Rhinolophus ferrumequinum: one gene and its partners. Each later gene encodes a partner of the first gene's protein in a complex. Links are inferred from orthologs where the notes say so. Each region holds a gene or a part of one and is shown on either strand. Other genes may lie near its edges. The genes, in order: EED, JARID2 and EZH1.

Region 1 (10,971 bases):
AAATGTCTTAAGCTCTTCCACATGTATTGTTTCATTTAATGCTCACACAAACCTCTTCTGGAAGAACAAGACATTGGAATTGTGGACAAAAAGGGAGTGGATCCTCTGTTTGGCTCAAAGAAATTTTCATAAAAATTGTTTATTGTTAAGTCTAAAATAAGTTTTGAAGGATGGGGGAGGAGGGAGGATTCCAGGAGCACCCACAGAAGCACAGAGGAGTAAAACAAAATTCTCAGGAGGTTTGGACATTCTTATGTAGATATTATAGAATTGTCTCCATTAAAAAAACAACAACAAAACTCTTTTCTTAGGTTAATGATAGTCATTGTCATTTGCATTTATCCTTGAAGACCATATTTGGATTTGGGAAAAAGTAAAATTACATCAAGTCTATTTACTCAACACTAAAAGTTAAAAATTTCACCTGTTTCTATTTTCCCTATCTTAGATAATTATCTAGAAATTTGGTCCAGCTATAAACCCAAGTGATCCTATGACTCTCTCGCTTCAACCCTCACATACCATGTCTTGTTGATATTATTTCTGAAATACCTCTAGAAACAACCCCTTACTTTCCATCTTTGTTGGCACTGCCTTGGTTCAGATCTGCGATGTCGCAACAGCTTTGAAACTCATCTCGCTGTCTCCAGTCTTACGCCCTGCTGTCTACCAAAGGAAAAACTCTTCTTTGGCCACCCATTACTTACAGACCAATGACATAAGGCTTTTCACGATCCATTCCCTTTCAGATTAGTAAGACACCTATTTACAAATCATATGCCAAAGTACTAAAGTTATGCCGTGGAATATACGTCTCCAATGACTAAAGTAACAAATGTCCACTCTTTAGCACACTTCCTTCCTATTACCAAGGAAACAAGAAAAGTTAACTAGCAATCAGAAGGCAGTTCTTGGTAAGCAAAGGCATTCCATAGTCGTAAAGGGAGATTTTATTGACTGAAATCTACCATAGATTTCCATAAACTTTCCTTAATCCACAATAGAGTGTACTTTTTCTAGTGTTTGTAAAACAGCATTTGCCTCCACTGGATTGTCTCTGCCTCTCAGATTCTACTAGGGAAACACTGACCAACCCCTATGTCAAAACTTATCAAACTGTATACTTAGGACCTGTTCGTTTCACTATTATAAATGAAATTCCAACAAAAAATTGAAATAGAATAAATGCCATTCTAATTCCTTCTGTGTTTTATCTAATTCTTTCTGTGCAAGAGATATATTTTTACATCGTAATCTTAAGATGGTCTACAAGGTCCTGCATGATCTGACCTCTACTTTTCTAGCATTACCTGTTACCAAGCTCCTGTCGCTTTTTCAGTCCTTTACCAGCACTAACCTTTCAGTTTCCCAGTGGCATATATTCCTAGCCTGTCCCAGAGCCTTTGCACGTGCTGTTACCACTCCCTGGAATGTTTCTCTTTCTCTTCCCTTCCACCTGGTTAACTCCCATTCTTCTTTTAGTTCTAATTCTTCTGTCTGTTCCTCAGGGAAACCCTCCCAAATCTCACTTGATTATGTGTCCACGAAACTGTTTGTAGGGCTGCTATGTATGCTTGTGTAAATTGTTCATCTAAACAAGGGTTCCTAGCTGAGGTGATAACGGCTGAAATCCAGCTTGTGCTATACACACAAAGCCTTGCACAGGAGCAGGCCTGTGCCAACCCAGAAGGGCTGCCTTTTTCTAATTCATCAAAGGCATTGTCTGCGTGCCACACACTGCCTACTCTGGATTGTTTCTATGGGGCACCTTTTAAAAAATAGTACAAAGATACAATGTTGGCAAGCAGCAGCCTGACCTTGTACTTCCCCATCATATTATAGTACTCACCACAGTTGTAATTGTGTATTTATTTGTGCGAACATTTGGTTAATGTTTGTTTCCCCCAGTGAACAGTAACCTATGAGTATAGGACAATAGGAAACTGTCTGATTTTGCTTATTATCAAGGATTCCCAGCACCTAGAACAGTGCCTGGCACATAGTGGGTACTCAGTAAACATTTATTAAATGCATGAGGCATTTGTAGTGCAGGAAGAATATTAGGTTTTTTGAAGGTACTAGAGACTGTGTCTAATTTTCCCTTTTTATCTCCTCCCTTCCCCTGCAATTACCATACTGCTTTGCACATAAATGACATTCAGTAAATTCCTTCTGATTGATTTTAAAATGTTCAAAGAAGCCATATGATGTTCTGTTCATATGCTCGCAGATCCATAGAAAACTGGATCTGTGAGCATATGATTACACACTGCATGAGTGATGATGAACAGCTGCTATGAAGCTGAAAAGACAAAAAAATGTTGAGTGAATGAGAAATAGACTTCAACTGAAATGGGAAGGATTTAGTTTAGCTTTTGAAACTCATTTCCTGATATGAAGCTTAAAAGATACTAGAAGACAATACCGAGGCTGTGAATTTTCTTTTTCTTTATAAATAATTGATCTTTGAAAATTTTCCAAGGTAGAACAACCATTTATTTAAAGGCAAAAAGGCATTTCTGACTAGAGGTCTCAGCAGTCTAATATTAGATCCACTTAAAAAAAAAAAAAAAGAACTAAAGAGGTTTTTTTGGGGGGGAGGGATACTTTTACAGAAAAGTTGCAAAGATAGTAGAGCGTTCTGTATACCCCTCATCCAGTTTCCCTCACTGTTAACATCTTACATTGTCATGGTACATTTGTTAAAATTAAGAAATTGAAATATATACGTAACTATTCACTAAGCTGCAGACTTTATTTAGATTTCCCCAGTTTCTCCAGTTATTTCCTCTCTGTCCCAAGCAAGACAGTTTTTATATGTCCTTCGATAGTGTATGAAAGATTACATGGTCTAAAGATCAAGCTCTGAGAAAAGAATTACATAAACCTAGAGATGACTGGGTCCATCTTGAGGCAAAAGTACTTTGGTTTTTCAATCAGTCATGCTTAAATAAGATCCCTAGCTATTTTGAAGAGAGCTGTGTTTGGGGGCTAATTGGTTGATTTCACTAAGCCACAGTTCACACATTTGTGAAATGTGGGTAGTAATACCTCTCCACCTATGATGGCTCCCGAAATCCTTTACAGTAGGAGAATTCAGTGTTAAAAATTTACAGTTTTTTAATAGGTAATTAAGCTTTTGTGTTTATTAAATTAATACCATAAAGATAGCATGCTGAATAGGAAACCTGCGGTATTTTACATATGTGAAATTAGTAACAAAGACTCTCTCCTTGAACAAACTTTGGTCAGGCTCCTCTGAGTTCTCCTCTCAACTAGGCATTGCGCCTGAGTCTTTGCCTGCCTAGTCCAGATGTAGTAAGAATTCTGCTAAGTCAGTTGAAAGAATCTTTCCCTCTTGTTATCTGATCACCCTTGATAACTGATCAAATTCCTCATCCCTCACCCTCGATGTATCTGATCACCCTGGCAAGTTGCTTTAGGAAGAAGCCCCCTCTCCTTGATGTCTCCTCTAGTAAGTTTCCACCCACCAATCCCTGTAGGGGAGGAAAGTTTCCCTTTACCCCCCGAGGTTTGATAGCTGGATCTATGAAATAAACTGACAACAGGCAGGTTACCAGGAGGAAAGGTATACAAATTTATTAATTTTTAATATTGCATGTGCAAGAGCATCACAGGGGGAAAAAGTGGATAGCCAAAAAAAAAAAAAAGCAGTGAGATTTGAGAGCTCATACCATCAAAGTAGGGGAAAGCAAGGGATGTATACCACGTAAGGGAGAGTAAATGACAGTTTGGAAAGATAAATGGGCCCTTAGATGAATGGGTGTGGTATGGACTTCTAATCTCTTCTGTGATAAGAGTCAATTTTCCCTGTTTGATGAAACTCCTGGGGAGGGGATTTATGACAGTTGAGTTCCTTTTGGAGGGTCTGTCTTTAGGCAGATAAGGGGAGTTCAGAGCATACTTGTTTCTCAAGTACCTTCAGTTCAAAATAATCAATATACCAAGCAGCATATTGTGGTGGCACATTCTGAACTCCTTCATCCCCGACTCTGCTCCTGGATTAAAAAACCCTCGCCTTTCTGTATTCAGAGTTGAGCCCTATCTCTCTCTCTCTCACTGCAATAGTCTTGACACTTATTACAATAATCCCTGGTAAAATTCCTTGCTGTTTTAATAAGTGTCAATCTTTTTTTTAACATTAGTAATAATGAATATTAACTGATTTCCATTTATGATCCCTGACTCATCAGAAAAATTTAAAAATATCCCTCCAAGTTTTAATAACAATAGTTAAAAATATTTTTGCTTTGCTACCCATAACATGCTTGCTGAAAGGCATTATCCTTCCATATGTGTCTTTTACCCAAATATTCAGCACTTTTCTAACTTTATTACTAAAAGTTGTTTCCTACTTCCCAGCTCCCACTGATGTCACACATTTTAATTTGGTTTGGAAATGCTTTAGTTGATTATCCTTTATTTGTAGAGATATATTCACAAACATTCTTCTCAACAGACAAGGGGAGTATGTTTCTCTGCTGTTTCTCTGCATGAAAATGTCATACAAAGGCACATTTTACTTTCTCAAAATTAAGAAACCATACCATACCGTACGAGTCTGACACCATACCAGTCAGTCTCTCTCACCAACTGAGGAGTGCTTAGCAGTGCCTGGCACATTAGAAGAGTTCAACAAATTACTGCAATTAACATTACTAAGACTTGAACTTTCATTTGTTTTAGCTTCCTTGTTTTTCTTGAGTCTTCATTGAAAAAACCTCTTAATCTGCCCTGCCTTTGCTTTACCTTCCTTTTCTCATTCTTAACTGAGTTCTCTTAGCTCCAAAAGGAAGAGTACCTTGCAATCTGCAGATATTTTCTCTATTAAGGCATCATGCAGAAGTAATTCAGTACCCTAGAATTTTATGGCTGGGGTACTCTATACTGGTTATCCTTTGGGCGATGTAATGAGGTTTAAAAGAGAAAAATATATATCCAACTGGGTACCTCCAGGAGGTCACTCCCAGGGGCTCTGTCCAAGTGGTGTAGGGGAACATAGGGCTCTGCCCCATGATGTACAGTCCCTTTCCACAACGTTGGAGATAAAGCTGAGCCTTGAGTCTGCGCCTGCATATTCCTACAGCTTCTCAGAGTCCTGTGGACAATGACTGAAGAGACAAACCATGCGGGAAACACCTCGCATTTAAAAATAAATAAATAAATAAATAGATAGATAAATAGGTAAATAAAATTTTAAGAAAGAAAAAATATAATATCAAGTAGGTGCTCAAGAAATGTTAGGTCCCTTCCTGTCTTCTCATTTTTACAGATGAGGGCAAAGAGGCCCCCCAAAATAGTCACAACCAAATTATAAAAAAAGGGAGAGGGGTTCTTATTTGTCATTCTCCTTTTTCTGCTGTTCATTCGGTTTTGTGGCTTAATGACCCATCTAACAAATCCACCGAGGCTCACCAATGTATTTGGCATCTGTCAAGCGCCTAGACATGGTAACATTTAAAGATAAACTTTTTTGGTGAATAGTTTCCTTGCCTACTTCTAAAATTTTATCGTATCTGGTGCGCCAAAAAATATTGTCCATCGTTTAACAGTCTCATACATAGTTGGAGATAACCATTGATTTTTAGGCCTGGGCCTTGTTCAAGGCCTTGATAATCCTGTGTAACAGTTAAAAAGAGCACTTTGGGCTGTAACTCATTGGAGTCTAGAATGTAATTTTTGGATATTCCTACTTAAACCTTACTCAATGTTGGCACCAACTGGGTGAGGGCAATCATTCATCGCAATACATATTCATCAGAATAAATATTCATCAAGAGTTTAGGATGCGTCCATAGACTATGATTTGGTAGCGCTTTGAAATCCACCCTAGGCTACGGAAACCCGGTGGAAGACTACCTGGTTCAGTAAGACTTCCAAGAGGAGGGGCTTGACGGAGGCGGGTTCGGGCAACCCAGCGCGAGAATACGCCCCGGCGCATGCGCACATCTTAGCGGGTAACTTCCATTTGCTTGGCGGGGGAGGCACATGAGAAGCAGTCTATAGTTTTTGAATTTCTATTCTTAACAAAAAATTAGATAGTAAACAATACCATGAATAATGTGAGAGCGTTATCCTCCGAGTTCAAAATTAAGGACACTTGACATACACCGTTAAAGCAAGAGGTGATTTCTCATATCTTCCCCGTCCCCTGGGACATTGGTGGTCTAGTCCATTCCACAGACTTTCGAGTCCTTGCAGCGGGTCGGGGATCGAAGGATTGGGCCAATTGCGGCTGAAACGTCTTTGGAAGGAGGAAGGGGGTGAGGGGACATCCCTTTGAGTTCCACCTCTCCTTTTTCGAGGCGGTAGTGGGGAAGGGGGACCTACTAAATACTGCCCTCGAAAGCCAACGGGTCACACCTCTCCCTGCAAACTGCCGGGAGGGCGGCGGGAAAAGGGCAAGACGGGAATAGGGAGAGGGAAGCAGCCAGGAAGCCGCGTGGGAGGGCGCGCGAGCGCGCGCCCCTTTTTCAGCAGTGTGGCGGGGTCGCACGCACGCCCGCCTCGGCGGCTGGGCGCGGTTTGCGACAGTGGGGGGAGCGGTGGAGGTGGCGGCGGCAGTGGCAACTTTGCGGCAAGCTCCGGCCGGGCTTGCTTGACGGCGGTGTGGCGGAGGCCCCGCCCCAGGCGGCAGGAACCTGGAGGGAGGCGGAGGAATATGTCCGAGAGGGAAGTGTCGACAGCCCCGGCGGGAACAGACATGCCTGCGGCCAAGAAGCAGAAGCTGAGTAGCGACGAGAACAGCAACCCGGACCTCTCTGGGGATGAGAATGTGAGTAGAGCCCTGAGCAGTCCGGATGGGACTCTGGAGTGAAAGTTTTAAATTCTTTTTAAACTGTAGAAGCGGGGGCGGGCGGCTGTGGGGGGAGGGAGAGGTGTCACCCTCTACTCAGGAAAACGCGGGCGTGGAGGAGAAAATCGAACTTGTTTCTGTGGGGGTTTGAGTTGGGGCCGAAAGCAAGAAGAAACTTGGCGGAAAGATCCTTTTGCGTGGGTGGGGAGTGTTTGGGCCTTTGGGGGATTTGGGGAGAGTGCGGAGCTGAGATTCCAGTAGTTTAAAAGGCAACTTAGAGGTTTTCTGAGAAAGTTAGAAGGAAAGGCCAGGGTATGTTACGGACTCTTTTACAGGAATTCAGGGACCATGTCACTCCTAGACCCTTGCAGACAGCTGATGGGAAGAGGAGATCTTAAGGAGTTTCGGTGATTATTGTAAAGGGGGTTTTGTGTCTGCTACCATCCTGTCCGTGGAGGTTAGTCGGCTGTTTTAAGGAGGAGCAGAGTTGAGAGGGTCGTCTTCTGACTTTGAGGGGGAAACCCTCCTTGAGGAAGGAAGGAGAAGGGACGGTTAGCCTTTTGAAAGAGTTTACAAAGATAAAGGGGACAAACTGGAAGATTTTAGGCAACGGTGGTGAAGGGACATGTCTTTAGGTGTGGGCTCGTGGATTTTTAAAAAAGAACTCTGGTAATCATCTAGTCCCAATTGTGTTTAGGTGAGACGCAGGTAATAAACGAATTGACATTAATTGTCAGTTTCATTCATGTTTTAAGTTTATATCCAATAAAGTCAGCAAAATGTCTTGACAGTTTATTCAGAGATGTTAATTACTCCAAAATGTGAACCCCTTTTCATGATACATGTCTGAGTGTCGATTTAAAATCTTTAAAGTGTTATAGGAGGGTGGTGTTAAGTTCTTCATTTTCTCAGTTTGGCTAGTTTTAGGAATAGATGTAACTAACCTCTTACCCAGTTTTTAAATTCTGCATCTCAATTACATCACTTGTTGAAGCATATGTGGCATGGTGTCATGACCAGAATTTTCACTGAAGACGTGGAAAAGAATTCTTTTTGTAAATAGAAGAAAGATATTTAGGAAATTGTCAGTTTGTGGGATTTGGACTTGAAATTTCTGGAAATCTTAGGCATTGCATGTTAAATTTTGTTTGTTTTTCCCAATTTTATATATGTATATAAAAAATAGCATTTTTTATGCCTTTCATTCCAGTCCTTGGAGCCTGTTTTATTTCTGCCTTTTTTAGGCAATTAGGTTAGTAATTAGGAGCACACACTGGATCCAAATGTTAAATTAAAATCTTAACTCGGCTACTTACTGGTTGCTTGACCTTGAGCAAGGTACTTGAGCTAGTTCCCTCAGTTTCTTAAAAATGGAGGTAATATGTTTACCTCGTGGAGTATTTGTGAGGATTAAATGAAGTTAGTATAGGTAAAGTGCTTAAAAGAATGCCTGTCTCATAATAAGTTTATAGAAGTGTTATTTAATTACTATTAGTTATTTTGTGATCACAAAGTGTAGACTTCCACATAACAAACGATCAGGCAGAAATGTAATTAAGAAAGTCAGACTGAGGAAGATTTCCAAGGACCAAATAAATTGAAAGTTTACTTTCTTTACAGCTTAATGAATACTGTGAAGCCTTCTCAGAATAACATTTTTTAAGTGTATAAAGTATATGAGGTTACATACAAAATCAGTGATAAAATTTTAAAATATGTTATAAAAATATTTTAAAAACAAATTTAAGATTTGTTTTAATTGAACTACTTTAATATAAAGTGTTTAAAGTGCTTCTTTAGCACATTAAGTAACTAGATCTAGCGGCACGTCTGATAGTAAGGGGGATACATAATATTTGAGGTCTGCAACAGCTATATGATATAAAAATACCTGGTTTCCATTGGTAAGAAAGTCACAGCTACAATAACATTAGTACGTATGTTACCTCCATTACAGTAGAAAGTGCTGAATTTCAGATAAAGGTGGTGAAAATTAAAATGCCTTTTGTTTTCTTTTGGATCATTTCAATTCACAGGCCCTAGGAATTTATCTAAGGATCACACAGATATTGGACACAGGTTAAGGGAAGGGAATAGAGAATGCTGTATAAAAATGACTTTAGGGGCGGCCGCGGGGCGGCAGGTTAGCTCAGTTGGTTAGAGCTCGGTGCTCTTAACAACAGGTTGCTGGTTCGATTCCCACGTGGGCCACTGTGCGCTGCGCCCTCCACAACTAGATTGAAACAACTACTTGACTTGGAGCTGATGGGTCCTGGAAAAACACACTTAAAATAAATAAAAGTTAAAAAAAAAATGACTTCAGAAAAAGCAAACAATGGCAGTGGTTTTACTCTTGAGGGAGCTGAATGATGACAAGAAGACCAAAAGCAAGTGGGGAAAGGATGTGGTGTTTTTGAGTTGGAGGTAAGGTAACCTGAGTAGTTGCTACTTTAAGTGAATCAGGATTAAAAGGACATTTGTTTTTTTGAGGTGTAATTGGCATATAACATTAATTTTGGGTGTACAGCATAATGATTTGATATTTGTATACCTTGTGAAATGACCACCACAATAAGTCTAGTTAACATTCAATATGTTTATTATATATGTATCTGCCATTTTATTGAACTTTTTAAAGATCGTATGACTACAGAGTAGTTAGTTCAAGAGAACTAATGGTTGCCTGGTGGTATCAGAGGGCTAAATTTGGAGACTTGTCTTTTGCTTAAGTAATCTGTGGCAAGATTAAGGGACAAATTACTTCGTTTCCTTGTTGGGCAAATGAAGATGATAGTGCCATATCTGTTGCACAGTGTCATTTTATACGTTCAGGAGGGGCCAAGGTGAAAATCAGCCTGTATACATACTAGACACTCAACAAAGGTTTGATTTTAATTTAAAGATAAAATGAAATGGTTGTGAATACATTGCATTTCCATTTGATTCCATCTTGATATGCCTTTGGAGAAGATGGGTAAATTAAGCGCTCAAAAATAAAGGAAGAAAAGAAATGCAACGTGCCTTGTTATAGACAGTGTTTTGTTTGGCTTCTTGATTAGCAGTTGAGTTTAGCCAGAAAGTAAAGAAGCTGCTGGGGGGGCGGGGGCGGGTGAAGGGATTGAAGGGCAGTCGGTGACCACAGGATGGCCACGGGGTTTGAAAATTAATCTGGGGAACGTAATTTAGCGGTTACCAGAAGGTAAAGGGGTGGGGGGTGGGTGATGAGGGTAAGGGGGATCAGGTGATGGAAGGAGAACTGACTCTGGGTGGTGAACACACAATGTAATTTATAGATGATGTGATATAGAATTGCACACCTGAAATCTATGTAATTTTAATAACAATTGTCACCCCAATAAATTTAAATAAAAAAACAGAAGCTGCTGAAAAAATTTGTGCTAGTTCTATTATTTCATTCTGTACTGTTAAAAGGTAATTTTCAGAAAAGTAAGTGAACGTGTTAAAATTTTATTTTATTCATGAGGGAACCAGGCAAATGTAAGTCAAACAATACAAATTTACATGGATTGAAAGAATGTAAATGTGAAATTCCAAATGGAGACAAAAATGAATTTTTTTTAAGAGGAAGGGAAGACATTTTGAACCTCTACCATTAGAGAGAAAATTTGTATTACCAGTGATCTACAACTTAAAGAGATGAAAAATTGTTTAAAGGCAACTAAGAGGGCTATAATATAACATGGAAGAATGTATTATAAAGATAATGCATAATTTTCCATTGAAATGCAAAATTGTTTTCTACACTCGATTCTACCTAAATAAAACGGAAAGGTAGGGAGAAATTGGGAGAGAAAAACAGTGATTTCAACCTAGGAACTTTAAAATTTTACATTTACATTAAATTACAATTCAGATTTTTATCGAGCAGTTATTGTGTGCCATCTATCCATACTTTATTCCTTTTTTCACCCCAGATTGTATGTTCCAGAATAATGGTGTATTTTTTTTTAAAGCATGTTATTTTGGTGTAGGTACCATTTGCAGTTTTGAAAACTACCCCAAGACTACTGTATGATACCTTTTTGTTTTTAAGTGAAATTTTTATATACTTTTGGCCATTCTAGTTAATTTTAACCTTTGCAATATAAAACCAGCTTTAGGAAGCAATAATTTAGAAATAGCTCCAGAGGCAG
Region 2 (10,387 bases), on another chromosome or scaffold:
TTCTTTAAAAAAGGTTTCTGTGGCCAAATAAGTTTGGAAAATTATATGCTTCTTTGGGATTTTAAAAATCCTGCGGTAAAGTAATCAGGTTATCTTTGTGTAAATTAGCAATTTCTCAATCTCTTTCATCAACGCATCCTTTCCTTTCCAGCCAGAGTCAGTAACATTTCATGGAATAAGGTCTTGGATCACATTTTGAATACCAGGGAGATGGTCTGCACAAAGAACCTTGACTCCTGGCTCTGCCACCCTACTGGCTGTACGACCTTGAGCAAATTACAAATTCTTAATATTTCGTGTCTGCATTGGAAGAGTAAGGACAAGGCCTGTCTAAAACTGGGTTGTTTTATTGATTAAATGACATTATTATGGCTGTCCTTTAAACCCTATAAAAAGTTACACAAATGAAAAGCATCATGTGATATCACAGAGAAATACAGTTGACCCTTGACAATGTGGGGGTTAGGGGAGGCCCACCACCCTCGAGGCGAAAATCCGAGTATACCTTAAATCGGTGCTCCCCTCCCCCTCTCCATGTTCTCAACCGCCAATTGACACAACAACGGCGGCGGGTTCGGCGGGTTCGAACTGCGCGGGTCAACTGAAAAAGTCCCGGGATGGGCCCTCCGTGCCCCCTTAAAGAGGGTCAACTGTATAAAGTTATATTAGGAAATCAATAACATCGGAGTATAAAGAAACTTGCCCTAGAAATCCTTACTCAACAAACTGTATGTAAGTCTACATAGCGGCCAGCACTGAGGGGGAGGAAGGAAGCAGAGCACAAAGGTCACCAAGTAGGATTAGAGTATGTTGGATCCAGAAATGTCTTTGGCGATGATTGAATTTAACCCTGACATAGATGATGAAGGTGAAACCCAGAGGGGTCACAGGAGTGGCTTCAGGTCCCTGAGATTGTTCATTTTAGAAACATCTGATTCCCATGCAGTAATTGGCCTCATTGCCAAGGGCTGCTTCAAGATGAGACAGATCATGGCCCCATGATATGTTTGATCGAATTAGGAGAGACAAGATGTATAAATGACAGAATCAGAAAACAAGACAAGAGGCAACAGAATTTTAAAGCTCAAAAATGTGGCTGATGGTAACTATGTGAGATGATGAATATGTTAATTAGCTTGACTGGAGTAGTCATTACAAAATAAATATGCATATCAAAACATCACATTGTACATTTTAAATATATACATATTTTTATATTTTTAAGAAATGTGGCTGAAGTAACAGGGGTAATGAGAATTCAGGAATGAGTAAGCCAAGCAGCCAGGATGAATTGGAGATAAGGCTGGACTCCGGGCCTTGAAGACTGTACAAGACTGGATTGGATTTGGGTGCTGCAAGGGGGACTATAGTTGTATTCCAGAATAGAACTGGAATGATAGTAACAAACTAAATGGCTGGCAATAAATAATTGAGCATTGTAGTTTTGGTGAAATATTCAAAGTAAGCATTTACTGGACACTTCCAAATTGTACGAAGTTTCTGGAGCTTTGGGGAGAACACGAGAAGCAGACAACAGTCTTTGACTTTAGGAAGCTTATTTTTTATTTAGAGAAAGGAGATGGGAATCTAAGACCAAACTGGTGAACGTAAGCAGGTAAGAATACAGCGCAAAGGGGTTAATCTGCTCTTAAGGAAGGGTTACTGGAGAAGATGAATCCTGAGTTATTTCTTAGAACCATGGATCTGATTGGTATTTGGAAGCATATCCTGTGTTAACCCCTGCATTCACAGGGAAATTTCAATATGCATATAACATAGGACTGTGGATTATTCCTCTGTACTTGGTCTTTATTAACTTTCTTTCCCTGTCATTTCTTACAGTAAATCAAATGGTGGACTAAAATGCTTAATTAAATATGATTGCCCATGCAGATTTGAATCCAGAACACTGAGTGCCTGCTCTTATTTGTGTCTGATGATTTGCTCCGATTTTCCTCTTTCATCTCCAACATGTTTCCATTCTTCCTAGAGTGGATAACTGATCTAATCAAAAGAACAATGTAAAATTAAGGAATCAGTCACCATTCCCTCCAATTCCCAAGTCCTATGGACTTTTGACATGCTAAACATTTCTCAACCTGTTCTCTGCTCTATATGGCATTTCCTTTGCTACTGCATTCAGATTATAATCCCTTGTTACCTCGTTTATGCAATAACATTGCAACTAGTTTCTAGGTCTCTCTGCTTCCTCTCTTCTCCAATCTTCGATTTCACCTCTCACACAATTAGAATTACTTTTGAAAAACACAGATCTGCTTTCTGCCTTTAGTGAAAATCCTTCAAAGTCTCTTTTTAGCTTACAGGCAAAGTCCAGACTCCTTTGCTTGGCATACAAAACCTTTTTGGTCCTTGCTCCCGCTTACCTCTGTCTCATCTTTAGTCACTCCCAAACAAAAATTGAATTCCATCCATAAATGTGGTATACTTTTTTAGGTCTCATGATTTTTTTCACGCTGGAAAGTTGTTCAGCTTACTTTAAACTGCAGAACCCATACTCATCCTTCAAAACTCCCTAATTCCGGGAGTGGTAACTGATATAAAGAGGATAAAATGTAAGCTTAATATTTGTGTTCCCTTTAGCACCTTTCCCATATAGTTGATACAGCACTTGGGTATCACCATGGATTGTGAAGTCTGCTTTTTCTACTGAGGACTTTTGGGCTCTCTGTGTCCTCAGGGATGAGGACAGCGCTGGCACACAGGTCCTACGGAGGCTGTGTACCTACTGAGGTCTTCCCTCCAACCTCCCATCTCCCACTCCCGGACTTGATGAGGTCAAGGAAGTACTGTGAGGAGTTAAATCATCAGGAGAAAAGTGAATTAGGTTTCCAGAAAATGAAAAAGAGGAGGAAAAAGAAAGGAGAGGTAATATGTGGCCTTGCCAAGATGGCAGGAAAAGGAAGTTCATCAGGAGACAGTTACTTCTACAACAGGAAAGGCTTTGGATGGTAAAAAGGCCAATCTATTTTCCTTTTCAGGGAAAACAACACTAAAGTTATCTAGATCTTTTGGATTTGAGCGGATTCCTTTCTTTCCCCTACCCTCAAGCCTCAACTAGGGAAATGGCTTTAAATATGTGGTGATCTGGAGTTGGTAGCCCAGCAGGGGAGTTCCCAGGTCCAGGACAGAGAAGCCCAGGGGCTAGCTAAGGAAACTAAGAAGAAATCCACCTTTGTTTTTCAATATTTTGCCTGAGGAATGACAGATTTGACATGAAATCTCCAGAAAGCTGGTTAAAACCGTAACATGGTATGGACAAGTGGAGACCTCCAATTTACAGGTTATAATCATTGAAAGACTTTTGAACACACCTGGTTGTAACCCAACTGTAAAATCACTTGGGTGGCCATTACCGAAAAGGGGTCTGTTCTGCTGGGCCCTTCCTTGCAAAAGGCACCAGCAAACAAGTTCTGGAATATTGAAGCACAGGTCACTCATTTTTCTGATTGTGCAATGAATATAAGGCAAAAGCATTTCATTTTAGAAAGCATTGTTTTTAAAATGGTGAATAATTAAAAAGCATTTGAAAAAGCATTTTATTTCATTTACTGAAAGTTTCCAATAAACCTGTCTGATTCTCAGCGAGGTTAATGTTATTATATAATCCTCCCCACAAGGTTTGATCATCACTAGTTCACAGATGAAGAAACGGACAAAATCAGAGGCCGTGGGCTGCCTTTTAGGAAGTGGCCAAGGGGTGATGTGAATCCAGGTGTCTTACCTCCAGTTTCTGAGACCTTTCTAGACACAATGGTTCTCTCTTCAAACACTGCTGCAAACAAAACGTAATGGTGTTACCCGAGTATTTATCCTTTTAAGGCGAGGAGAATCTAAGAAGTGGGAAGGAGAATAAAATGTATAGGAATGAGTATGAGGGTGCACTGATCCCACTTTTCCTTTATTCAGAGAATAGTCCGAGAGGAGATAATTTAAAACAGTACTTCTCTAAAACCAGTTAAAATAGGGAAATTAATAATGCAGAATGACTACCAGAGACTTGACAAAGTTGTTAATAAAGCGAAGGCCCGAAGAGGTACACCAGGGCTTGATGCTTCATTTATATCAGCGATTAAACAACCGCAACAGGGGCAGAGGCAGGTAAAAAAGCAGGCTCTCGCGCGGCTACCGCCCTTGATATTCCTGGCACTCGGTGTTCCAGATGCTTCCTTACAGTCTGCATGTCTGTGTGGCTCGATCTCCATATTCCACTCATTTTTTTTACCTCAACGTTTTAGTCTAGCTCATGGGCACCCCCGACGCAAAATACGTGACGGCAAAGATCACGTTCGAGCTCTTTAAAGTCGGTTATCTTTTATAGGAGGCAGCCGCGGGGGGCCCCTTTTTGGCCACCCCCGATGCCGTCCTCTCTGCCCGGCCGCGTGCCGTGCCGGGAGGTAGCCATTCCCCACGGCCATCCTAGCCGACACGCGCGTGGGGGCGCGTGCGGCTACGGGGCGCGGGCAGGGGTGACCTCAGACTACCCTGGGCCCGACCGCAGTACGCTCTGTGCGACTACGCAAGGCGGTGTCCTGAGGTGACACCGGCGGCGCGGCAGAGGCAGCAGGCGCCGCCGATCAACTAGTTCGCACCGAGGATTCCTTTTGGTGCGTGGCCCAGTTTTCCTTAGGACTGGCTCCAACCCCTCGTTGACACCGCCCCCAGCGCTGCCACGCTCCGAGGCCTTCCCCCGGGGAACCTCGCGTCCCTCCCCCGCCGCTCGGCTCGGCCCGGAGCGCGATTCCTCGATTCCACAGGCGGTTCGCGCCGCGGGTGGGGGCGGGGCGCGCGGGGAGGAGGCCAGCCGCCTCCGGAGGAGGGGGTCGGGGCCAGGGGGCGGGGGCGGGCCGGCGTGGGGAGTTCCTTGCTTGCGGACCACAAGCTCTGTGAGCCAATCCCGAGCCAGCCTCTAGCAGTGTCGCACGCGGGACACGTCCAAGCGTTTGTTGGCAGGGCCGGTGGGGGGGAGGGGGTAAGGAGGGGGGCGGGGAGTTGAGTGACAGGCTTGCAGGGCAGGCTGGGAATTGTAGTTCCCAGCTCCCGTAGCCATAGCCATTTTGTAGTCGGGGGACTACAACTTCCAGAAGATCAAGGGGACCATTCTAAGGTGCCCCGGGAATAGGCGGCTCTCCCCGGGGCCGGGCGTCCTGGGGCACTCGTACCCAGCAGCCCCGCTGCAGGTAGACTTGAGGGCAGGGGCGAGTGCTAGCGTGTGGCAGCTGTGGGGTGAGCGGCAAGCTGGGGAAAGGGGGTGAGGTGGAGCGACCGAGCGTGCCATGCATTGAGCTAGGGAGCCTCTCTAAATTCCACTCCTAGGCTCGGCGTGGGAGACAAGCCTGAAGGGTTGCCCGGGAAGGGTTCGTCAAAGCATCTTGGGTGTCTTGTCGACGGGGCTGCGGGGGTCCTCTGTACTGGGCCGGAGGCGGTCGGCGCCGAGGTTGGCAGACGCCTGGTGGCTCAGCTGTGAGAGTTTTCGGCTAGCTTCCGGAGGGGAATTATCCGAGGAGCCCTAACTTGTATAAAAGCAGAGTCCATTTAAAGTTGGGCTGGATAGCCTCTCTCTCATTGGTTAGGGGGCTTGGAAAAAAGAGACTCGGCGAGCCCTCGCTGTGGTGCTGCCGCCGCCGCCGCCGCCGCCGCTGGAGTTGACTCTTCTGCTCGCACTGCTGCTGCAGCACAAACGTGACTTCCAACATTTTTTATTTATCTTTCCCTTTTCTTTTCCAAGATGTAACTACAGATCAGACACTAAGGACCTTCACGTTTCGCTGATGTAGTTTTTGGAGGAAAAAGGGGGGGAGTGAAGGGCGTCGGTTTTTTTTGTGTGTGTGTGTGTTTCGGGGGAAATTTTCCATTATGAGTGTTTTACTAAAGTGAATTTTTTTTTTGTTTGCTTCGTTCGTCTTTGGCTCTTTTTTTTTTCTTTTTTTTTTTTTTTGCTTCCCAATTTCGGATTTATTTCAAGGCGAATCGGGCTTTGGGGGAAGAGGAAGAAAAGTCGGATTACAAGATCAACCACCACCAACAACAATAAAAACCACCAGGATATTTTTTTGCAAATTTCTGACGGCTTTAAATTCATGAAGCAATTGTCCCCTTTTGCAATCAGCATTTGGATCTCAGAATGAGCAAGGAAAGACCCAAGAGGAATATCATTCAGAAGAAATACGTAAGTGTTCCTAACAACACATCCTTTGACTTGCAGTTTTAAGCAATGGCTGTGAATGTCAAGTTTATAGATAATTCTGCAGCTGAAGGGTTTTAAACACAGCGTCCGATAAGGCTGTTTCTTTCTTTTCTGAAAGAGGGCTTTTCAGGCAAAGTCGTGTCTGCCTAGTTTGGATGAAAAAAAACAGATTGGTGTGGAGATACCTCAAGTGAATAAATTGACCTCGAATGACACAACCATAATCTAGTTTTAGATGAAAGGCAAGGGATTTTGGTGGAGCTTGGAAGTGGGGTGGGGGCTGCGGTAAGGTAACTAAACTGCATTCTCCGGTGGGTTTGGCCCCATATTGCACTTTGCATGCAAATGAGCCTATGTTATTATTACTAATGTTATTTGGAAAATCGTGTAACGCATGTGTGTTGGAAGCCCTTTAAGTTGCAATCGAGGGTCCGATTATGGAGATCTTATTCCTTGCACTGGCACATCAAATTTAATGTATGTGGTTGTTTTGGCTTATCTGGTTCGCTACATAAACCAGTTGGGAATCATGTTACAGCGAATTCATTTGTTGGGATTGACTTTAATAATGGGACTGGTTTTATTTAAAAATTCATGGTTTCCAGTTTTAGGGGAAAAAGACATACAATATAGCTAATGTTTTTAAGTGGGCACGTGAATGCATATGTGAGTGACTACAAATAATTTCTCCCTGTTAAGTGGGCTTCTGAAATTGGGTGATTATTCAGAGATTTAAATGGTTTGGAATAGTTAAATTTGTTTTGTGCATAGTACTGCTACGTTTTGATTGGCATGGGGACTGTTTTTGTTTTGTGTGTGGTGGCTTTTTTTTAAGTTTGGGGGGAGGGAGGGAAGGGGGGACCGAGGGATTAACCAAATATGCGCTCGAGTGATCGGTGATTAGCTGCATACTTTAAATCAAAGAACCCATTTTCTAAAAGAAGGCCAAATGAACATACATTAGGAGTAATGCAGCGTTATTATAAAGTTTTATTTAACTTGAGTCGTCAAATTAATGTTAATATTTTCCCTTTTTGAGCAGTGTAATATGTGTAATGGGAGATGACCTTCGGGGCATATTTGTAAAAAATATATTTAATGGAAAAACTGAATGCCTTTTTGTAGAGGGCCGATCCTCGTGTAGACACGTAAACTTTAACTATGAAAGAAATGCAAGGTTAAATAATCAAGTCCTACTTATAAAGCTGTTCCCTTAAGAATTTAAGAATTAAAATACATCCGCATTGCAGAGGGCCGGGTAGAATGTAAAGGACTAGTTTAAACTCGGGCTGTAGAAACTGCATGGAGACACCCTTGCCTTGGAGTGTGGACGCCTTCCCAGGGCACGTCCTATTCGGGTGCAGCGACAAAGCAAATGGGGTAGAACTTGGACTCAAGGACCGCCTCTCTGCCCCCATCCCAGGCCCCGCTAAGTTGGAGAACAGTGTGGGGTGGGATTTTGTTGCTAGTAGTCAGCGGATCGTGTGGAGTCCGAGCGTCCGGTCGCAATCCCGTGGCTGGCAGCGGCCGCCGGAGGCAGAGCACGAGTTAAGGCTGTGGGAGCGGAGCTCGTGCTCTCGACGAGCTCCAGCTTGCCGCGGAGGGGAGGGTGTGCGGGGGTCGCGGCGGGCTGGGCCGAGGCTGGGTGGCCGCGCGCGGCCTGTAGGGGGCGGGCTTCGGTCTCGGGGCTCCCAGTTCTGGGCTCCCGGCGGCCCCAGGCGGGCAGGCGGGGCGGGGGGACGGCCTGGCCTACTGTGTCGCGGGAGAGGTGGGAGCGCGCGGTGGTCGGGTGGGGGCGTGCCGGGGAGGGGGTGAGGGCGCACAGCTGCAGCGGGCGCCCCCACTGTGAGCACCACGGAGCATGGCGGCGGCGGCCCGGCGGTTCCAGCGCAGTCTTGAGAGCAACAGGTTAAGCCGGCGAGACGTCAGCGCACCCCCTCCCCGCCCCCGGTTCTTCCCCCGCCTCGCGCCGGCCTCCCCTGCCTTCCCCCGCCTCCTGCTGCGCCCGGTTTCCGGGACGCTCCGGGCCGCGTTCTGTTGTCATTGTGACGTCACAAAGGGACGGGCCGGGGTGGAACGTCCTCCTCCTCCTCCTCCTCCGTGACGTCAAAAGTCGGGCGGGAGGTTCCAGCGCGGCGGGGCTGCGGGGGGCGGAGGAGGAGGATGCGCTCGGCCTCTGTCTTCCGCCGTGGAACGCTGCGCTGCCCTGCAGGTGAGCGCTGGGAACCTTTCCTCCCCAAAAGAGTGCCCCCGCCTAGCTGTGTTTCTGATCCGTTGAGCGGATGGGGAACAGCGGGGAGACGCCTCCTTCCTGCAGAAATGTTTTCACTTCTCTGTTTCCAGGTCTGCTGATGGCGTGACATTACTACTGTGGTAGTTGGGTCTGCTCACCAACGCTTTAGAAAAGCAAGGAAACTTCATTCAGGGAAAGCTTTGCTTTATAGGAGGAACATGTGGTGGAGTCAGCCACTTTGTCACTTTAGTCATGTTTCACGTGTTTTCGCAGGATGTGGCGGGACGCCTTTCTGGGTGATGGTGCGCAGCAGAAACTTGCTCTTTCTGGAAACCGTGCAGTACGGGGTGGAGGGGAGTTGGGCACTCCTTTGCCGTGTCAGCTCCATGCCTATTGAGTAATTTTTAGGGAGCTAGACCAGGGAAGACTTGCCATTGATACCTGTGCTTGGAAGAGCCACTGGACTCTTTAATAAAAAGTCTCAAGGTGTTCCAGGTTTAGTTCTTCTGAACCAGACAGCAAAAGGCTCGCAATCTGAGTTTATTTCCTCTTCTGTGAAATGGAGAAAGTAATACCTGTCTTTGCCACTTCACTTTCTCTGAGATCCTGTACATGAGATGATGATGTGCGTGAAAAATATAAAACAGTATGCTCTTTCTGTCTAAGGTGGCATTATTACTTTAGCTGGTGGAAGGCAGCACATTTCTTAAAATTGGTCTCGAAAGCCTTAGATGCCTGCTGCGTTGCCATTTAGTTTATATTGCCTTAGCAAAGCAGAGTTTGGGGGTGGGATTGTAGATGACAGACAGGCTTTGGGAGAAATGATTGTTACATTTTATATTAAATGACATCCTTGAGAAACTCATAAATTGCAATGTAATCCTGTCTTAATTGTGCTGGGCACAACTCCCACTACAGCACCTTAAATAACTGAAAACATTTGCCTTTCAAAGCCCCAATCCACTTGGACAATAAAAATAGTTTTATGTTTTGCTCTATGGGTATTTTTCTGCCATTTCCGTCACTCCACTGGTTGGTTATTCCTAGGGAGAATAACAGATACGATATCCAGAGTTCAAAACCATTTGATCTGTGATGCTTCATAGCAGGTATGAATTTGAAATTAAAATCTCTGCCATATGAAGATATGATTTATGCAGTTAGCATGAAAACAAATTACCAGTTTGATTTCTAGGACAGCTCAAGCAGAATTTGTACCACTAGGCTGTAAGTTTTTTAAGTATTTCATTTTCTGATTTAAAAGTGTAGTATGACTTTCAAAAAACTGGGAAAAGCTTCTTACAAGATTCAAGAGAGGGGTTTACTATAATTACAATTACATAAAATTGTAAAGAAAAAAGTAGAAATAACACCAAAATATAGTGGTAGGATTTATGTATGATTCCTCCCCCCGTCCCCCCGCCCGCCTTGTTTTACACCCAGTCAGGTTATTTTGCACACAGTTCTGGGGGCAAAAAACTTGTACACATACTTTAATTGCTGTCTTTTTCCTTTCTTGGGCTGTTCACATGCCTTTCATTTCTCTGTCTCTAGTAGTGGAAAACATTTCTCTCTGTCATACAAATCTAGGACAGAGTCTACTTAGCAGCTATGATTACGGAAGGAATACTGTCAAGGTAAGAGTCCAAAGTGTGTCACTGAAATTCGAAAGAAAAAATAAATTCTGTGCAAAAATAATCCAATTTAAGTTACTGTTACCTGGGTTATTATTACCATACGTGGTCAAGTATCTGACTTATGTGTCCACCATAACCATTGACCTAAATAGCCAACAAGAATTGTACTTAGATGATATAATGGCTGTTCCTTCTCTTACAGTTTAGGTTAAACCAGTTTCCGTTGCTGGGCTAAGGACTGTTGACTTACTTCCAAGTGCCTTGGAAATAACTCCAGTGCAATCTTAATATATACCCTGCTCCAAATGTTTA
Region 3 (10,489 bases), on another chromosome or scaffold:
GACATTTTTCTAGAAAGCAGATCAGTGGTTGCCAGGGGCTGGAGTTGGGAAAAAGGATTAAAAGGAAAGAAGCATAAAGAACTACTCTGTGATGATGAAATGTTCTATACACTGGTTATGGTGATGGTTATTTTGACTATGTACTTTTGTGAAAACTCACTGAACTATCTACGTAAAATGGTTAACTTATCGTATATAAATTTTTACCTCAATAAAACTGATTCAAGAAAAAAAAGTCTTTCTTGACGATAAAGCAATCCAGTATTTTCTAGAGACTTACTATTAAAAATCTGTAGGCAATTTTACCTTTCTAAAAAAACTCTTGAATGACTTCAGAATGAATAATAGTAGAATGATCAAAATTGGTTCATTAACTGTAAAAACTGTTATATGTGTACTAATTAATATAAGATGTTATTAACAGGGGAAACTGGATGTGGAGTTTAACTGGAACTCCCTGTACTATCTCAACAGTGTTTTTGTAAATCTAAAGCAGTTCTAAAAAAAATAAAGTTTATTTTTAAAAAAGACTGATAATTGGAAATAAGAACTACCTTATTTACATGTTAAATCTCTACAGGAAAAGAAAGCTATAAAAACTTGGAAATCTTTCCCTAGAAAATTGGATCTCAGTTTGCTTCCAAGGCTAAAACTAGAATGTAGTCTGTCGCTAGCTGGAAATGGGAAAACATTATGGAAATGTTTTGGGATAAAACATTTAAGAAACAATATTCTTAAACTTACAGAGACTGAGAGCAGAATATAAAAGTTCCAAACTATGAAGTTCCTTTATTCACATAAAGTTGCCCCTTTGCAGAAATAGCTTGTCTTAGGGGCAAGTTCAATGTCTTGACTACTTTCTCTTTTATAACAAATAATTTTATTAACCAGCAGGCTAAGTAAGGCTTTGAGGCGATGGCACTGTAGACTTTTAACTTTTCCATGCCATTCTTCCCTTTTCAGTTCACGGTGGAGTAGAAACATAAACAGTAGGGGTGAACCTACCTCTGCAAAGAACTCTAGTCACACACAATTGAGTCATTTTGGTGATCACGAATTTCAATATCCCCATTAAAATCAACTCTGTAGTGGAGTGCACACAATGATAGATCAATCAGGATCTATTAAGCACATCTTTAATTTGTATCCTTCCACTTCTCCAAGGTATTTATATTTGTTACTAGTTTGCGCTTCTGGGCACTATACACATAGGGAAAAAACCTTACTAATAGGAAGCTGTGACCCTGACTTCTTATATAAAGTTATAGCATTAATACTGTCTAGCGTTGCTTTATGAAGAGAATCAAGTCACGTGCACTGGAGACAATGGTGATAAAAATCAAAGCAGGATTAGTTTTTAGGAGACACAAAGGAAAATGCTGGCCCTTAGGATATCCAATGCTCATTTAGAAGAGATAAAGGCCCTGTTAGGGCCCTCTCGGAACAGGCTGGAGCCCTACCTTGGTTCTGTACTAAGCTAGCATAAAGCTTAATGTTTAGAGACTGCTCATTACCAATTCAACAAAATCAAGACTTTTTAGTTGTTCCATTTTTGAATCAAAGTATTAGGGCAAGTGTGTCAGCGAACACAACACACCACAAACTCCAACTACCCATTAAGAAATTCCTAATTTTAAAGTTTGGAGCCCTGAAATCCCACTGACAGGCTGATGGACCAAAGGGGTAGGAGGAGCCCAAAACACAATTTGAACAAATTAAAAACGAAACAAAAAAAAAAGCCGAGGACTTTCTGGAATGGAGGTATTCCCTAAAAGCAGTTTTTCCCCATATACCCTCCTCTGCAATCCTAATCTAACCGGAATAATTCTCACCTTTCTCCACATGCCTTTTCGTTTTTCTCTTTAGTTTAACTACCCGATGTAGAAATGTAATGTGCTTTTAGTGTTGCTGCCTCAAACCTTTTTTGGGAAGTCGCTAGTTAACAAAGCAGAAACTTTTAAGACTTAGGCCAAGACAGAAAAAAGTTATACTACGTAACTAAATGAATTGTTACATGTTTCAGATAAAGCACAAATCAAGGGCAGGAACTGTTACCCACAGGACTAAGAAAGCCAGATTTCAGATATCAAAAACTAAACAGACAAAATTAATATTTTAAATGGTTTTTTAAAGGCGTGCTAATTCAATGGCAAGTAAGATAAGAGAAACAAGTCTGATTACATTTTCTGACCTTTTCCCTTCTCACAAAAGTCGTTTGGGGAGTAAATTTTCATTTTTTAATCCTAGGCTCCTTATTCTAGTGCTGTTTCAAAGAGAATTAAAGTAATACCATAATGAAGAGGTCATTTCAACCTCGGGGAGTTTTAAACTTGTACGTTGGCGGGCGGCCCGGTGGCTCAAGCGGTTAGAGCTCCATGCTCCTAACTCGGAAGGCTGCTGGTTCGACTCCCGCAAGGGATGGTGGGCTGTGCCCCCTGCAACTAGAAATGGCAACTAGACCTGGGGCTGAGCTGCGCCCTCCACAACTAAGACAGAAAGGACAACAACTTGACTTGGAAAAAAGTCCTGGAAGTACACACTGTTCCCCAATAAAGTCCTGTTCCCCTTCCCCAATAAAAAAAATCTTAAAAAAAAAACCCACAAAAAACAAAACTTGTACCTTGGCATCAAGTTCTTGGCATCAAGTTCCATGACTGGACTACAAGCATTCTGCCAGTTAGTAACAGAATTAGGATCCAGCCCCAGAGATCTGCCTACTATTCATGTATTCGACAAATCTGTATTGAGCACCTACTGTGTGCCTGGCACTATTTTAGGTGCTTAGGGTACATCAGTGAATAAAACAGACAAACATCCCTGCCCTGGAGAGTTAATTCACACTGTGATACACACACACTTACCATAAACCTTGACAATAATACGATCACTACATTTTTATATATGGTCCTTTCCTTTACTATAAATGTGATTTTTAAAAAGTATACATATCTTCTAACACACACTTTCTTCTATGTAAGCAAGTAAGCTCTTATCAAGGCCACATCAACCCAGCCCTGGGGATTCCAAGGCTTAAAAGGGACAAGCTCTCACAGAAACCTCTGACAGCACCTTTTCAGGCTGGAAACTTCATTCAACGCCAGTTTCCAAAACTTAAAGGCACCGGGTGGGGGATTTTTCTCTTCAAAGACGTCAGGGCAGCGAACCCGGAGGAACAGACCACACAGTGAATGCCGTCCTCCTACGCACGCAGTTTGTTCGTTCACCTCGGCTCCTTTCCTCATCCTCACCCCTCTAGCCTTAGATTACTCCGTTTACAATCTTACATTTCACCCGTAAAAACTGGCTCTCAATATTCCACCCGCGCGGCACTAACGTCCTTCCAAATCCCTTCCTCATACCCGCCCCCGAAACACTTTCTCAGTAGTCACTTTTTACCTAAATAATTTTGTCCCACTTTTCCTACGGTAACAGGCATGTCCCAAATACAACACCTTGCTTTTGCTTCACGGCGCTTTCCCTTTGATCCCCAGGAGAATCCCGGAGTGGGCAGGGGTTGGCGCGAGACCAAATTTGCAGAGCAGCAGCCTCGTAACTCAGGACTGAGGCTGGTGAGGCTCGCGGGGCGCCCAGGGCGCAAAACCTCAGGAGGATTCCGCTTGGGCTCGGTCCCGAGTGAGCGTCCCCTACACTTCGCACCTCAGGACCTCACTCACCTCACCCTAGTCCCGACCCTGTTTTTACTGACACCCTTTCCTCCACACCCCCCAAAGTCATCGCAAGCCGAGCACCCGTGTCTGGCCCTCAGGGTGCACAGCCCGAGGTCCCTGGGAGTCCACCTCGCTAAGGGCCCCCGCTGGTGCCACCGCCCACCCGCGCCCTCCATAAGCCAGGGCTCCCGCCCACCCGGCCCACCCCGCCCTCTAACGGGATTCCCCGTCCCCGGGCCCGCCCCCGCCGCTCCTCCTCCTGGACACACCGCCCTCCCGGCCTCAGAAGCGTTCTCGCCAGGGGCTCTCTCCCCTGGTCGCCCCCTTTCCCCAAGTCCTCGGAAGCGGGTGTGGGCGCCCCGCTAACCCCGGCCAGGCAGGCAGTGTGCCCCTCCGCTTCCTCCCAATTCCCTGACCCCTTTGCCTCTCCTTCTTTCAGGTCCCGGGTGGCGAGGTGCCGAGGCCCGGCCCCAAAGCCCGGCCCGGGCTTGTTTACTCACTCACCCTCCATCCCGAGCCGCAGGGACCCGCCGCTAGGACGCCTGCGCGCCGCGGCCCCGCCCCCGCGCCGCGGCCCCGCCCCGCGCCTCCACCGGCGCGTGCGCACTGCGCCGCCCGCCCTGCAGGTTGGGCCACCTGAGATTCCTTTTTCACACGTCTGTCATTTGGCACCAACACCCCCCCCTCCCCCGAACTCAGAAGTCCGAGGTGGTGCAGCCCGAGCCCGATGGTTTCCAAGGCGGCGCTATCAGGGGACAGGAAGAGCTCTTTCGAAACTTCGAGAAGCCACGAATATCTTCTTAAAGACCTTATCCAGGGTTGTACCATCCTCACATGCCGGTGACAAGGCACATCTCACTTCAGTATTTGAAGCCAACTTGGAACCCCTTCATACCGATCCCTCACACCTACCAATACCCTTAAAGACTCATATGGGCTCTAAGTAACCCTTCTTGCTTGATTTACACCTGACTCCCCCATTTCTGTCAATAGTTTTTCTAGTTACCTAGATTCAAATTAGCCTTGTATCAAAGGATCTCCTCAGAAGATACCTAGAAGTTACAAACGCAACTAACTTTACAGGAGAGAAATTTGGCAGACATCATCTTGATCAAGTGATCAACATTAACATCGCTAGTGATGAGATATTTTTATTAGATTGGGTACCTCTCAAGATGGTGCAATGAGGGCACAAAATCACATTTGTGGTATTCTTGAAAAAAACGCATAAGCTGAATTAAATCATGAGGAAACATTAGACAAATCCAAACTAAGGGGCAACCTACAAAATAACTGACCAGTATCTTCAAAAAATGGCATGATCGTGAAAGAGAAAAGGTGAGGAACTGTACCAGGTAGGGGGAGACGTGACAACTAAATGTAACGTGTGATCCTGGATTGAGTCCTGGTCCAGAAAAAGGATACCGGTGGGATAATGAAATTAGAATACAGTCCGTAGATTAGTTAATAATATTTTATCAATCTTAATTCCTGGTTTTGGCAATTATACTTCCTCAACGTTTAAGAAAGTTGGATGAATTGTCTACAGGAACTCTCTACCATTTGCATCTCTTTTGTAAATCTGAAATTATTTCAAACTATAAAGTTAAAAAATTAAAACTTAAAATACAAAGCTTTACCTTAAATTTATCTCCAACTGCCTTCTAGATCACTGCTTCTCAAAATTGGCTCACATTGAAAATAACCTGAGGAGCTTTAATAACTGATGCCTTCCTCCTACTCCCAGAGGGCCTGATTAATTGGCCTGGAGAATGCCCTGGGCTTCACCAGTTCTAAGAGCATCTCAGATAATTCCACTGTGTGACCAAGTTTGAGAACCATTATACCACATAAATAACTGTTGGGGAAAAAAAAGAACGCGCGATATCTAAGGAGAGATGTTCAGAAGATCTGAATGTCAGGACTGAGACTGGAGAGAAATCTGGGCACCATTGACATAGTGATGGTAACTAACACCATGGCAGTGGACAACATTGCTTTAGGAGAGTATGCCAAGTGACAAGAGAAGAGATACAAAGAAATGTTGCAATAAAAAAGAAAATATGGTTATAGAAATATTTTGAGGTGGAAAAGAAGAAGGAAGGTGAGGAAACTTATGTCAAAGTTGTAGATCAGAGCCCTGAAGCCCAGCTCAAGCTCCACGTCTTCATTAAGCCTTCCAGCCCTCCCGGGTCTCCCGTGCTTCAACTCTAGGACACTTTGCACTCACTACCATGCTGTATATCTTTTTCATGTCCACCACGACAACTTGGCATAGGACTAATCCTTGTTCACTGGAAGATTATAAAAACAACCTTCCACATTGCCAATAAGCATTGGGTTCTTGGGGAAATTTTGTCTGTCAACTGGTTCTTCCTCATTGTGATGAGATGGTTTTTCTGAGACCAGGCTCTTTCTTAGCTAACCATGGTCCATGCGAAACTATCAGCCAATCTTTGTTTGGCCAGCTGTTCCTCTACAACTTTTTCTTTTCCAACCCTTTAGGTCTTTGTCCTATAAATTCGTAGAAAAACTGTTGGCAAGTGGTCAGCAACTGGACCTCTGAAAAACAGTACCATTACCTCTGCCCCACTCCTTCCAGCCCCACCCCACCCCGCCAGGCAGTTAATAGGAGAAAGGAATAACTTTGTCACTCCTGGCTTCCAGTTGGTCATTTTGCTCTTAAATTGGAGGCCTTTGGGGCCGAAAGAAACTGGACAAAGTGTGCTGAGTAGCCTAATAGAGCTGGTTCTTTGTGAAAGTTCCCTAATGCGGAAAAATAAAATTATGTGTTTAATTTCTGAAACCTGATGCCTGATTTGCCTTGGCAGCCATTCTCCTGGGCTTGGCAGAGAGTCCGGCAACACTAGTATACTGATTAATACCAGCTCAGCTTGCTCCCTGGAGAAAAGTATTATTTATTTGACCATTTTCTTAAATCCTTTTTAATTTGTGTGTATTTTAGCATGATCTTATTGGCTTTAACATGTTGTATCTCTGACCACTGGCGCTAATGAACCCGTAGGGAAGACTGTTCTGCTCTGTGCGTTCACATTCCCAGCACAAAGCAAGATTTTGTTCTACCCGGTGATTAGAAACGACATGTCACGCGTTCTGTTCCTTCTGGGGCAGGCAAGTTCTAAGTGTACTTTTGTCCCGCGCTGGTCTTCAGGCCACTGATAGAAAGGGAAGGAGATAATGCTTCCCAGAATTCAAACAGAACTTTCTGCACTATTCCTTCCTCCCTGACAACCTTCCTCGCTTCCTTCCAGCCCCCTTTGGATGGTGACCCCTTGACTCATTCTGCCCCTCCCATGTAAAGCCCACAGGGATATCAAATAGCATTTCTCTGAGGGGATGCAGAGGACTGAGGAAAGGTTGGGGCCCCAGACAGTCCCTGACAGGGAAGTGTAAACACAGCTGTGGAGATGGGAGCAAACCATCCTCCCTCCCCCAGTTCCCACCCAGAAGCAAGGAAGGCCACCCTGCTGTGGGGAAACAAACAACAAAACAAAGCGAAGCACAACCTAAAAGCCTGTATAAAGATCACCAGAAACTGGGGCTGCTGCTTAGGACTTGGTGGGGCCAGCTCAAGTGCCAGACCCCTCCCTGAAGACTTAGAGGTAAAGGCAGCTCCAAAGCAAGTTGGGGCCTGGACGTTACTGAGCCTGGATACATGGCTCAATGTTTGCCTCTCCACTCCCGGACATTTTGTCCTCTGATCGCAAAAACACAGCTTTCCACCCCCAGGTACTTAGCTCCTGACCCCTAGTGGCTCAGGGATCATAATAATGCATTCGATTCAGCAAGTAACAACAGGTCCACAATAAACCCTTGTCCATGGCTGTTATAAGTTTAAACTCCGAACCTCCCAGCGAGAATATTAGAAAGGGCCTCCTTAGCCTTTGTTAATTACAAAATAAATAATTCCAGTAGGAAGGGACTTTCTTTTTTGGGGATCACTGGGGTGGGAGCTATGCCTTGCTTTGTACATACTCTGAAAGCTCCAACCCCACAGCTAGGGCGGTGCTGCCCATTTCTTGCTCTCTCGGCACAGTTAATGTAGGGCCTTGATCCCACAGTGGGACACGCCTTTGGCACGGCCCTGCCTGGGAAATAACCCTGATTGGCTGGACAGCTAATGAGCTGTGCTTCCTTTCTGGCCATCAGGCTTCTCAACTGTAAAACTGCAGAACTAGAAAAATGATAATGGCCTTCAAATACTGACCACTCATTATGTGCCTGGCAGTGTGCGTAAGTGCTTTAAAATGGGTCATCTCATGTCATATGAAGTCAATAATATTCTCATCCTCATTTTACAGCTGAGGAAACTAGGGTTTAAAGGGATTCTAGAACTGGCCCCAAATCACCCAGCTGGTAAACGGTGTGGCCAGGATTTAAGCCCAGTCATTCTGACCCCCAAACCCACGCTCTGAACCACTCTACTTGACCTCTTCCTTTCTCTGAGGTCTTCTAGCTCTGACATCATGATTCTGGATCCTCTCCATGGCTTTCTGCTCTCACCAGTGGTGCCAGAAAGAGAAATAAATGTGTTTGGGACTCAACTCCGCAAGTCCAGAAGAAAATAGCTCCTGAAAGGCAGGGGGCTCCTTACTTCCTCTGTACTGGAGATACCAATCAAAGCTGGACACTCGACAGACCGTCATATCAGCAGGAACAGCCTGTGTGGAAGACAAACAAATCCTAGCCAGACAGGAAAGGGGAGTGCCTCTTGGTTCTGTGACTTCCCCTTCTGTCTTCCCTGGCTTATCAGCAGGGTCCCATGCTTCTGATGCCATGGCCCTTTGAACCCCACTGTGGCTAGGATGGGTACAAGGCTACAGAGACTCTTTTGGAGCAAGAAAAGTACAATACATACAGCTACAGATTATATCCATGACACCGCATGTAAAGGAACAAAAATAAATACACTTATTTATTTATTTAACAAGTTGCCTTTAGCATTCACATAATCACTAGACATTAGACTGGATGTGAACCTACATCATCTCATGTAATCCTTGAAAGATGTCTGAGAAATAGATATTGTCATCCCCATTTTGCAGAGAAGGACATTGAAACTCAGGGAAATTGACATTGGCCATGGCCACATGGCTGGAAAATAGGAGAGCTGGAATTCAGACCCAGGCTGGGTCTGTTTGATAACGAAGTCTGTATTCTTTTCAATAAAAGCAGTGTTAAGTAATGTAAAGGACAAAGTTCTAAAACTGGAAGGATCCTAGAATATCTTGGCAATATAATTGTTGTAACTATACGTGTTATACATTATGATAGTAACTACCATTGATCGCATGCTTGCTAGCGCCAGTCATTGGATCAAACAAACGCTTTACATGCATTATCTCTACTGCTCAGTGAGATACATGCTAGTAACCCCATTTTTGCAGATAAGAAAACAAGCTCAGAGGAGTTAAGTAACTGCACAGGTTACATACAGCTAAAAAAGTAATAGTGTTGGGATTCAAACTCAAGTCTGCTTGATTCCCAAGTGTATGCTCTTGACAACTAAGGCAATAGAAATAATAGCAATCTACATTGAGTCTGTAAAGAACTGCTCTAAGAGCTTTAACTCTTATAACTTATAGATATTATTGTTCCCATTTTACAGATGAGGAAAACATGGCCTTTTATAGTACTACTTAAGGTCATATTACAAACACTACACGTGTTAAAACACATACATTATTAGTGTCATATTTGCTTAACATATATTGGATCCTTGTTATGATCTAGAAAAATGATTTATTTCATAGTGTCATGGGTTTTTCTCATTGTCCATTTAATGCATTAACCCCCATTAAGGTCTTGGGGGAAAGGATGTGAAAAGCTACTGTCTGTAGGTGAAGCAGGCATAGTCAGGAGAGGGGTTGTACTGAGAGGGGAAGGCCCTCTGTGCCATAAGGAGCCCTATCTGGTTGCTCTCTGGACACGCTTCCTCATCCCTTCCTATTTGACTCTGTCTAGCAAGTCAGCTAGCAGGTGGACTTCCGCCAGGTATTGTGGAGCAGAGGTGAAGTGTCCAGGATTTAGCAAGAAGACCTGGGTATCAGTATTAGTTGCATGACCTTGGATATGTTACTTAACCTTTCTTTCTTTTCTTTTCTTTTCTTTTCTTTTCTTTTCTTTTCTTTTCTTTTCTTTTCTTTTATTGGGGAATATTGGGGAACAATGTGTTTCTCCAGGGCCCATCAGCTCCAAGTCATTCTCCTTCAATTTAGTTGTGGAGGACACAGCTCTCAGCTCCAAGTCCAGTTGCCGTTTTTCAGTCTTTAGTAGCAGGGGGCACAGCCCACCATCCCATGCAGGAATCGAACCAGCAACCTTGTTGTTAAGAGCTTACGCTCTAACCAACTGAGCCACCCAGCTGCCCCTTACTTAACCTTTCGAACCCTCAGTTTCCTCATCTGTAAAGTGGGTTGCTATGGTACCTAATTTAATTGGGAGTTTAAATGAAACATTTTGTATGAAGTATTGAGCACACTGCATGCCATCCTCAGGGCATCCCCATGTTATACAACATCCAGCCTCCTAGAGTGCTGGGAAGGGGTAGAAGCGTTCCTGGGGATGGTTTCATAGGACAGTCCAGGAATGGAGGAAGGGTGAAAGCAATCATGGCATCTGGCGTTGGGTCCTGACAGCAACCATGAGTCAGCCTCAAGTGCTGAGGGACCAGCAGTGTTCTCAGTACTGCTGGGCGTGTGCTGTGGTCACTTGGCCAAGGTCCTCTTTCTGATAGTTGTTCTTGTAAATCTGCCTTGGGTTTTTTCTTTTTTTTTCTTCACAAAAACAGCCTCCACCAT

The links.
Region 2: the proteins of EED (region 1) and JARID2 are in contact, whole or in part, in a cryo-EM structure (PDB 6C23), measured with the Homo sapiens proteins. The link is inferred for Rhinolophus ferrumequinum from reciprocal best matches to the Homo sapiens genes EED and JARID2. Residues at the interface, in NP_003788.2 of Homo sapiens: Pro95, Phe97, Tyr148, Arg306, Asn307, Tyr308, Cys324, Asp362, Ile363, Trp364, Tyr365, Arg414, Asp430; in NP_004964.2 of Homo sapiens: Pro109, Gln114, Arg115, Lys116, Phe117.
Region 3: the proteins of EED (region 1) and EZH1 are in contact, whole or in part, in a cryo-EM structure (PDB 7KTP), measured with the Homo sapiens proteins. The link is inferred for Rhinolophus ferrumequinum from reciprocal best matches to the Homo sapiens genes EED and EZH1. Residues at the interface, in NP_003788.2 of Homo sapiens: Cys84, Val85, Asn86, Ser87, Leu88, Lys89, Glu90, Asp91, Trp103, His104, Ser105, Lys106, Glu107, Val112, Arg120, Leu123, Tyr124, Gln129, Gly130, Glu131, Ile132, Arg133, Leu134, Leu135, Gln136, Ser137, Tyr138, Val139, Asp140, Tyr154; in NP_001982.2 of Homo sapiens: Gly37, Ala38, Lys39, Leu41, Tyr42, Val43, Asn45, Phe46, Lys48, Val49, Gln50, Lys52, Thr53, Gln54, Leu56, Asn57, Glu59, Trp60, Leu63, Arg64, Val65, Gln66, Pro67, Val68, Gln69, Ser70, Met71, Cys83, Thr84, Ile85.

The regions. Positions count from the first base shown.
Region 1 is NC_046294.1:59,083,577-59,094,547, forward strand, and holds the start of EED (polycomb protein EED), read left to right. Parts: upstream 1-5,834; 5' UTR 5,835-6,682; coding exon 6,683-6,796; intron 6,797-10,971. UniProt on the Homo sapiens protein: Polycomb group (PcG) protein. Component of the PRC2/EED-EZH2 complex, which methylates 'Lys-9' and 'Lys-27' of histone H3, leading to transcriptional repression of the affected target gene.
Region 2 is NC_046292.1:79,352,288-79,362,674, reverse strand, and holds the start of JARID2 (protein Jumonji), read left to right. Parts: upstream 1-5,584; 5' UTR 5,585-6,142; coding exon 6,143-6,187; intron 6,188-10,387.
Region 3 is NC_046304.1:38,409,048-38,419,536, forward strand, and holds the start of EZH1 (histone-lysine N-methyltransferase EZH1), read right to left. Parts: upstream 4,230-10,489; 5' UTR 4,180-4,229; coding exon 4,173-4,179; intron 3,757-4,172; exon of another isoform or gene 3,453-3,756; intron 3,334-3,452; exon of another isoform or gene 3,070-3,333; intron 3,045-3,069; exon of another isoform or gene 2,621-3,044; intron 1-2,620.